Linked DNA regions of Caenorhabditis elegans. The protein of the gene in region 1 purifies or fractionates together with the protein of each later gene. This does not show direct contact. Each region holds a gene or a part of one and is shown in the gene's direction. Other genes may lie near its edges.

Region 1 (3,155 bases):
GATTTTTCAAAAATTTCAGTCAGCGTTTTGATAAATTGTTAACTTTCTAAAAATGTGAAATTTTTTAAAAGCAATTTCGAGCATTGATGCATGAATATAAAAATGCTAAACTACAGTAATCCCTACAGTCCCACTTCAGTAAAAAAGAAACTATTAGTGTCAGATTTTAAAAGTAATCAGAATATTTTTTTGAATAATATTGTTTACCTTCTGAAATTGAACACTCTTTGTGGTTCTAGCTTTGATTGTAGTCATTGGAGACTGATCCTTCTGTGCTGAACCAGCAGCTCTTCTGATCTTCGGAGATTCTGACAACTTCTTCTTCAATCTCTTTTTCTCTTTTTTCTCATCTGATGGACTTTCTTTCCTTTTCCCAACGACTGCCATGGGAGATCTTCCAATCGATGGATCTCTGTTCGTATCTGTGTCGTAAAGTGAACCAGCATCTGCTCCAATTTCGATGCTTTCCCCATTGAGATCTGAAGCATCGGTGTTCTTTCGTTTCTGAGGCATCAAATCGAGAACTTTCTTCTTTCCAGCAGCAAATGTTGCCTGTATTTTGGCTTTTCGTGTGCTCGCAGATCGTTTTCTGTCAAGATGTGCTTCTTCATCATCACCTCCGTCTTCTGTTCCAGTGTCAGTACGATTAGAGATCATTGATGAAAGGGAGGCAACCGAACCGGTTTGCTGGAAAAGAAAAGTTGGTAGACAAAAACTAATTTAGATTATTGCTTGGATTGTTGATTGAAATGTTTTCTGTCTTCTTACAAAAGGCATACGAATGAAATATTCAGAAAACAACTATTTCGAGTTGTGCAATGATGAATTTTGATAAATTTGAAAAAAAGGGAAACTTACTGAAGCAATCAACGCCAATCCTTTTGAAGCATCAGCCTGGGTCAATGTTTTATCTTTATCCTCTCTTTTAACAACTCCAAGTAATTGTGGATCCAGATTATGTCCAGCAGATGCACTTCTATTCAAATCTCCAACCAACAACATCTTGATCTCGTCTTCCACAGAATTTTCCATTCCAAAATCTGCAGAACTCGATAAAACGGCATCAATGACTTTTGCATCGAGATGACTTTCCGATTGTGTTCTTCGTAAATCGAAACTTGGCTGGCTGATCAGAAGTTGAGGCACTCGAGCACTTTCAGCACGTTGAACAGAGACAGATGGAGGTTTATCGAATTTGTGAGCGTCTGAAAAATAATATAATATTCTTAAAATCGATATAAAATTATTTTAATTCGAACGGGATTTCTGGTTTGTTCAACAAATGCTGTCTCTGTCTTGCCGATCGAACATCTTACTCTAACTTTACCACATTTAACGCCTGACCTCTACGAACCTTTTTATCAACTTTCTTGATTTTTGAAAATCACCGTCCGGTATCAAACGAAAACCAGAAACAGAGAATTACCATCTAACTTCTTTTTTATATTTGCTTATCAAACTTTTCCATAATTTTTGCTGTTCTTACTGACCTGGCAATCACAATTACTCCCTCCTTCTGTAACGTTGCCTAGTTGCAGTGTAATAATGAAATTGCGCATGGAAACAAGCGACGTAGAGAAAAGCGAAGAAGAGTTTGATACCTATCCCTTTTATTTTTCTGGACAAACGGTTACTCGACATTTTGACTTCCTTATGTCGTAAAGATTACGGTATTTTTGGAGGTGTTAGAAAGTAAGAGGAATTCCAAAATTTCATGTAGCAACCGTATATAAGGGTGTCCAGAGTAACTGGTAATCATTCCATTCCGCCATGGACATCGATTCCAAGATCAAGGCTTACCGCTTCGTCGGCTATGCCGCTCTTACATTCTCTACCGTAGCCGTTCTTTCGGTCTGTATTACTCTTCCAATGGTATACAATTACATTCATCATGCTCGTAAGACCATGCATCATGATATTGTCGAGTGCCGTGCTGAGGCCAAGAAGCTTTGGGGGGACGTCAACAGAGTCCCAGATATGGTGATGGCTCACAACCGTACCGCCCGTCAAGTTGGAAATGGACAATGCGAGGGATGCTGTCTTCCAGGAGCACAAGGACCACCAGGAACCCCAGGACGTGCTGGACGACCAGGAAAGCCAGGAGCACCAGGTCTTAACGGAAATCCAGGACGCCCACCAAAGGAGCCATGTGAGCCAATCACCCCACCACCATGCAAGCCATGCCCAGAAGGACCACCAGGACCAGCCGGACCACCAGGACCACAAGGAAACAAGGGACCACTCGGACCACCAGGACCACCAGGACCAGAAGGACCAAATGGAACTGCAGGAAACAAGGGACCAGCTGGACCACCAGGACCAGGAGGAAAGCCAGGACCAGCTGGACCACCAGGAGAGAATGGACGCAATGGAGAGCCACAACCAGGATCACCAGGAGAGCCAGGACGTCCAGGACAACCAGGATCCCGCGGACCAGCTGGACAACCAGGAAAGGATGGAGCTCAAGGAGGACCAGGAGAGAAGGGAGCCAACGGAGAACCAGGACAACCAGGAAGAGACGGACAACCAGGACGTCCAGGACAGCCAGGACGCGATGGACATCCAGGAGAGAAGGGAGTCTGTCCAAAATACTGTGCTCTCGATGGTGGAGTCTTCTTCGAGGATGGATCCCGTCGTTAAAAACGAGTTTTCTTTTCTCATCTTTTCCATTTTCCTTTTTCATATGCATAACAAAAGCTCGAATTGAAAGTGTTCTTATTTGAATAAAATATTTTCCGTTCGAAAAAATCTCATTTTTTAACTGTTCAACGATCAGAAAACCGGTTTCTCACGGATACCGTAACATGATCGACGGTTACTGATTAAAATGGGAGTTCCACGTAAAGAGGGAACAGTTTGTTCAAAAGAAAAAACATACCTAATCCGAAAATAGAAGAGGCAACAGATTCGGTGTTCGTGTCGATTACAGAAGATTCCAAATTTGACACACTGTGACGACGTCTTGCGGCAAGGGCGGTGGCTGAAAAGTACACGAACTATTATAAATCTTGATGTTTTTAGAAATTTTTGCTTAATCGATGTTCTAATTAATTTAATTATTTATCGTATCCCTTTCGTACTACAGTAATAAATAACTACGTTCGTTTTTCTCGTTTCTGCAAAATTCATGATCTGCACTTGTGATCCCTTTATGT
Region 2 (6,268 bases), on another chromosome or scaffold:
TGATATCGTTATCAAGAAAACGTAGCATGTGGCGTTTGACCTTCATCATTTGCAGACGCAGGTTTGCTGGTGTAATATCAATGGGAAAATGAAATAGTTTTCACCGATTAAAATTTTAACTGTAATAATAATTATTATTGGCTGATTTCATTAAAACATAGTTCAGAAATAAAAATTCATTTGTCTTTTTAAGATCAGCAACTTTATGATTCATATGATCGAGCGCAACTTGTTATAGACCTATGTATTCATTAATAGTTCCTCCTCTAGGTGCCAATGCTTATTAGGGGTCAAAACGTTGTGACAGTTGTTCAAACAGGAAACAGATCGGATAAAAGTTAGCCAGTGAGGGCCCACAGAACATTCAACTTTCAACTCTCACTACCATGAACACCTTCTTCGTTTTAACAATTGTTTTCTTTGTTTCAAGCGCTGAAATGTGCTCCGACTCGGCTTCAAAGTAAGTTACAGATTATTTATTCAGTTTGAAATTTGAAATTTCATTTTTTTTTCTTCCAGCTGCGCGAACTGGGTTGCCAATGGGTTTTGCACCTCTACATTCTACACTACCGCTCAGAAAACCCAATACTGCGCATCAACCTGCTCTTTGTGCTCTGATTCTTCAGATTCTAGCTCTTCATCGTCCACTGCTTCTACAAGTTCTTCTTCGTCCACAGCTGCAACGTCCAGTGATGATTCTTCTTCATCTTCTTCATCATCTTCCAGCTCCGCGTCTTCAACATCTTCTTCAGACACAACAACAGCTGACAGTTCTTCTACTACATCCTCTGATTCTTCAACAACCTCTTCCAATTCTTCATCATCCACTTCATCCTCAGATTCCACATCTGTCGTATCTTCTACATCTTCCTCAACCACTACCACATGTGTAGATTCTTTTTCCACGTAAGACTTGATTATTTGCCACTTGCAAAATAAAAACCTTCTAGATGTACTTCCTGGGCTGCTAATGGATTTTGCACTTCTTCCTTCTACACTACTGCTATCAAAACTCAGTACTGTGCAGCTACCTGCTCTCTGTGCTCTTCTTCCAGTGACTCTTCTTCGTCGAGCTCTACCGCTTCTACATCATCTAGTTGCACAGATTCAGCTTCATCGTAAGATCAATCAATTCTACTGACTAGCCTAAAACAAGTTGAACTTTCAGATGCTCATCTTGGGCGGCCAACGGCTTCTGCACTAACAGCTTCTACACAGATGCTCAACGTGAACTCTACTGTGCTAAAACTTGCGGATTATGCTAATTTCATCGTTCCTCTTTTATTGTAGTTTGTCTCTAGTAAACTGAATGCATATCAAAACCATGTCTTCATAATATCTGTTGTGTGTTGTTTGAGAACGGGCCATACCGATGAGAGAGTGCACAAAATAAGAGAGTTTTCTCTGCTACATGGTGTGTCCTCCCGCCCGCCCCTCCTCCACGAGAAACACGCCAGCAAACCAATAATGCGCCTGCAGCCACCGACCTGCACCGATCCCTCTTCATTTTTTTGAATTTTAGTCGTCTATTTTCTAGTATTACCTTTAAAAAACAAGGTTTTTATATATTTTTTTTCCAGAAATGCAGAAAGCGGCGCCGCGGCCCATCATCAAACGGAGTTATCTCAACTTGGATGCAATTTTCGGCCATGTCTTCTCAAATTTGACAGGAGAGCCAGTGACTCCAACAAAAGTAAGTTTTTTAGTTTAGAAAACCTTCAAAGTACTAAAAATTTACTTAAGATTGCAACGTTCTACCTTCTTCGCATTCTTTTTCAAACACACTTTGGATTCCGTCACAAACGTGCTTACTACAAACCATTTAGCCCCGCCGAAAAAGAACGGTAAGTAGTTTGGAAAAATTTTAAAAAAAGAAACCAAATTCATGTTTTAGAATCTTCCATTGGCTGTATGCATTGATGACGTCAGTCGTGGAGCTTTCTTATAAGGACTTCAGAATTGTCACTCGACTTGCATTTGATGACGGCCGTGAAGTTTGTAAAAACTTTTATGCAGCGTAAGTCAAACGATTTTCATTTTATACAATTAAAAAAACATTATAATTTATTGTAAACTATTATAAAAACTAGTCAAACAATTCGACAATAAATTAAATGCAATAATGTTTCTTAGCTCGATTTTCTGGAGCATTATAAGCATAATCAATAATACAAAACAATCCGCTGGCATCTCTCCATTCTTTCAGTATGGAGAAAATTGGCGCCGGAATGGCGGATGTTACTCTTAACGTTGAAGATGAGTTCTACACCAACAAGCACCCAAAGGATCCGAAATTGCCAGCAAATGACACTGTACATGAAGCTATGGACTTGGCGCGCGGAGACATTATCCAGTTTTCTTCCAATCACTCGTTTATGTACAGATGGATGAAACGAGTATGATTTTTCAATCGAAAAAATTTGTTTCAGTTTGATTATATTTCAGCTCCTGGCACAATACACCAAGTCAACTCCTTCAGAAGTGTTCCAGATAAATGCAGCCATGAAATCATGGGTTTTGTCTGCTGTTGAATCAAAGTAAGTGACGAAGCTTTGCTAAAAATACCGAAACTTTTGCAGATATCATCCCGAGTTCAAGGGAGAGTATCTTCCACACTTCATCGACTGTTCTGTCAGAGCAAGGGATTGGGTTGCTAAGAGCATTTACTTCATTCAGGTGAGATACTATTTGAAACTAAAACTCCCATGCGGTCGCCGAGCCAGCCTCACGTCGTCACCCTCGCCGCATGTACAGTGAAGCGCAGACCTCCGAACGTGTCGGCCGCTTCCAGCCCACCACCTTTTCACACTACGTTGCGCACACACCATGCTACTCATTTCACGCTGAGCTGCGGAACCCCGAACGTGTCGGCCGCTTTGAATGACTACCTCTCGAACTTCATTTCACACACACAGCGGCGCGCGGCGACGGCGTGAGGCCCGGATTTTGCGCCTCACTCAGCTGGGAGCTCTGTTTGAAACTGACAAAAGAAAAGTAATAATGTTTCCATGTTTTTACAGAAGAACCCACGTTTTGCCTTCCAATATAACGAGATGCTTCACTACACCCGGATCGTACAGAAGCGACACCCGGACGTTGTTGAAGGGTTCCTGCTAGAGGCCATTGTGCAAGTTCAATTGAAAGATAGCTCGTCGGCTATTAAGGCAATGAAATCGTTTTTCGAGTTGTCCATGTTTGAGTAAGTGTTATACCGTTATACCGCCACCGAGGTTTAAGAACAAAAAAAATAATTTTCAGACTAAATGAGAACATGGTGCATGCCGCAAAAACGCATCGATTGGCAGTTCCAACTCAAACCCCGTTGATGTATGCACCGATTCTTCAAGCCAGAATTTGCAGAATATTTGGAGACTAGTAAGATATATCAATAAAGAGTACATAAATATTCTCATTTTCCAGCCAAATGGCTCGTCTCCTGCTCCACGAGAGTCTCCAACAAGCCCAGCTCCGAAATGATGAGATTTGCCATCAAATGGCCAACATCGAAATGCACACTGTCGACATATTGGGATGCAGGGCGCTGCTTGAGGATAACAATGAAAGTGAGCTCGTCTATTATTTTTTGAATCAATAAGAACTAAGACAACAACAAATCAAATTTGCAGAAACCGCTAAGCACATTGAAAATGAACGGCGAGTTCAGAGAAAAGCCTTGCTGCACATAGACGAGTAAGTTGGATTATCTACTAGTATAGAGTCATAAAACTAATTAGTACATTTCAGTCTTCACGGACATACGCGATCCGGGCCTTGCTGTCTAAGTTCTGAAGAAGATTTTGAGCTTGTCGCAGAGATGGACTCATATGGAAAAATGCTCATGTTGATGAAGATCATTGCAGAAGGAAACTATAAGCTGTGAGCATTCAATCAGAGACGTCGCTTTAACTTTCCAAATTTACAGGATCTACGACAGAGTTGCGGAAACCGGAATAACGTGTCCAGTCGGTAATGATCTTGGAGAACGAGGACGAAAAGTGGCTGCTTATGGAGCTGCTCTGATATCTAGTAACATGTAAGTAGCTCGTTGCAAATGGCCTAGAAACCATTCTGAATTTCAGGATTCATAATGGAATGTATCATCAAGCAAAGTGCGCCGCAGAAAACATGCTGGCAAACAATTGCAGAACCGATGAAACAGACCCCTTCCAGGCTCCTTTTCAGGCCGAACCTTGGGTAAGTACAAGTTAGAACTGTGACAAATAATAAATTGGTGCAAAATTTATATGTATCTAATGAAATTCAAGTATGATGTATCAATTTTCAGGCAATTGGTGCGGTAAACCTATCTTATTCACAAGCTGGAGTCGGAAACTACGACGCGGCACTAAGAACTATTGAGGAAATGCGACAAAATTATCCGGAAGAACTTTCTTGGCAGTCCAACCGTCACGTTGTCATTTGTGCAGCTGTCATCAACTTTGAAAGATTCTTATTGAAAAATGACTACAAGGCTTGTGCTTCTGAAGTTTTGAATCTCGCAGCACACTCTGAACTAGAATGCAAGCTTCGGTGAGTTGCAATTGAAAGTATTACCTCATTTAATTTCTATAATTTTTTTAGACAAGCTCTTCTCCTCGCCGCAGCCGGAAAAGAACGGGCAAGTGTTGAAGTGTTGGAGGGATTGAACGTTGTGGACATTCGTGGAAGAATTCGAATTCACATGCAAACAGGATGCATTTACACGGCTAGTCAAGAATTTAGAAAAGCTGCAAGAGAATTTGCAGACGCCTTGAGTCTTGCTGAGAACACCACACTGAAGGACATTGTGCCAATGGTCAAGAGAAGACAAGCAACTATGCTGGTAAGCATTTTATGTAAAGAAAAAATTGCATGAATTTTTTTACGCCATCTTGATATTTCACTGAAGAATCTACAAAGTGGAGCACTGTCGTTAGGGTTTTGAATCCGTAAATTTTGCGCTGCACTCCGAAAATTATTTTTTATTCAGCCTTAAAAATTGTTTGAAGTGAGATGTTTGAAAACATAAGGTATTGTATTTTTTATAGATGTCACCAGATATGTCAGACTATACTCGCTTACTAGTTAGATAAAATAAACGTTTTCTGAGAACATCGCATTTATCAAATGAAAAACAATTTTTAGAATCTAAATTTACAGATGTGCCATGGTCAGTATGTCGAATGTCTGAAACTTTTGAAAGAATGCAATGAAGGCATTGAACAGTTTGGATCATTTACCGAGAAGGCGTGCTACTACATGACAGCGGCCAGATGTCATCGATTGCTAGGGAAAGATCCGCGGATGTGGTTGAAAAAATCCCGTGCCCTGGTCCGCAACGGGCAATGGCCGGCGTTTACCAAGCTCGTCCTCTCCGAAATTGCTGCTCTTCATGACGTCAAAGGACTGATGCCTGATGAAAATCGTCTGTCGCAGATTTGTGAGCAATTTGGTAAACTGACTGCTGATTGTCCCGGCCGATGCGAATGGCTCCTCATCTGATGATGTTTCAAACCAATATTCTTGTACACACTTTTAAAGTGCTTCATTATCCAATCCCAAAGACCCCCGTCTGTTCTTACATTCAACGATCTTGTTTCAAAACTCAAACAGGTTTATGAGCTTCACAGTGTATTTTTACGAGTCTTTCTTGCTCTATTTGATTTTGAATTTATGAACTTTTTGTAAAAAAATTGCTTTTGAAAAATTGGAAAAAAAATTGAAAAGGAATGTTTTATTGCAATTTTTTTGATTTTATTTTATTGCAGATACCATTTGTGCAGTTTGAATGCTTCTTACCAAATGTCAGAAAACATATTTCTGGTAGCTAAAATACATTTACAACTGTAGCAAAAACGTGTTGTGCAAGTTTTTTAATAGCAATGAGATGTCTATTTTTTTTTAAATTAAATTGAATCATTATCGAAAGTGATTAATTATAGGAAATTACGAAGAATAGAAAGGATTACTTTGTTATTGGATGTTTTACATGTTCTCATGTAAATTTATTGCTAGCCAAACTTATTTGTTGTTTTAAAGCGTGACCTCATTGAATCAAACGTTTTTTTAAAGATTAGTAAAAAAATTAAAAATTAACCGGCTACTGAAAACCCCACCCCCGCAAAATTCCTATTTTGGGTGAAAATTCCGTATTTGCAGTGAAACAATGCCAACTGAAAGCATCACTCCAGTTACTCATGACAACTCAAATAGGATATGTGTACATAATGATTAATTTTGCTAACTTTCCATATCCGTTATAACAAATGCAAACATCGTTTTTGAAAAT

Evidence for each region.
Region 2: the proteins of col-119 (region 1) and gfi-3 purify together in Caenorhabditis elegans (affinity purification with mass spectrometry, with the first as the bait; one large-scale study listed by BioGRID). This does not show direct contact.

Annotation. Positions count from the first base shown.
Region 1 is NC_003282.8:8,978,411-8,981,565, reverse strand, and holds col-119 (Nematode cuticle collagen N-terminal domain-containing protein), read left to right. Parts: upstream 1-1,770; coding exon 1,771-2,640; downstream 2,641-3,155. Other genes in the region: pdzd-8 (PDZ Domain containing), read right to left, coding at 208-687, 859-1,205, 2,879-2,980.
Region 2 is NC_003284.9:14,478,992-14,485,259, forward strand, and holds gfi-3 (Protein gfi-3), read left to right. Parts: upstream 1-1,580; 5' UTR 1,581-1,582; coding exon 1,583-1,693; intron 1,694-1,743; coding exon 1,744-1,844; intron 1,845-1,894; coding exon 1,895-2,017; intron 2,018-2,206; coding exon 2,207-2,396; intron 2,397-2,445; coding exon 2,446-2,537; intron 2,538-2,579; coding exon 2,580-2,676; intron 2,677-3,020; coding exon 3,021-3,199; intron 3,200-3,258; coding exon 3,259-3,375; intron 3,376-3,420; coding exon 3,421-3,563; intron 3,564-3,626; coding exon 3,627-3,690; intron 3,691-3,744; coding exon 3,745-3,876; intron 3,877-3,922; coding exon 3,923-4,033; intron 4,034-4,079; coding exon 4,080-4,194; intron 4,195-4,285; coding exon 4,286-4,530; intron 4,531-4,581; coding exon 4,582-4,822; intron 4,823-5,139; coding exon 5,140-5,481; 3' UTR 5,482-5,711; downstream 5,712-6,268. Other genes in the region: M163.11 (ShKT domain-containing protein), read left to right, coding at 387-460, 520-906, 951-1,118, 1,169-1,265. UniProt on the Caenorhabditis elegans protein: Probable component of the anaphase promoting complex/cyclosome (APC/C), a cell cycle-regulated E3 ubiquitin ligase that controls progression through mitosis and the G1 phase of the cell cycle.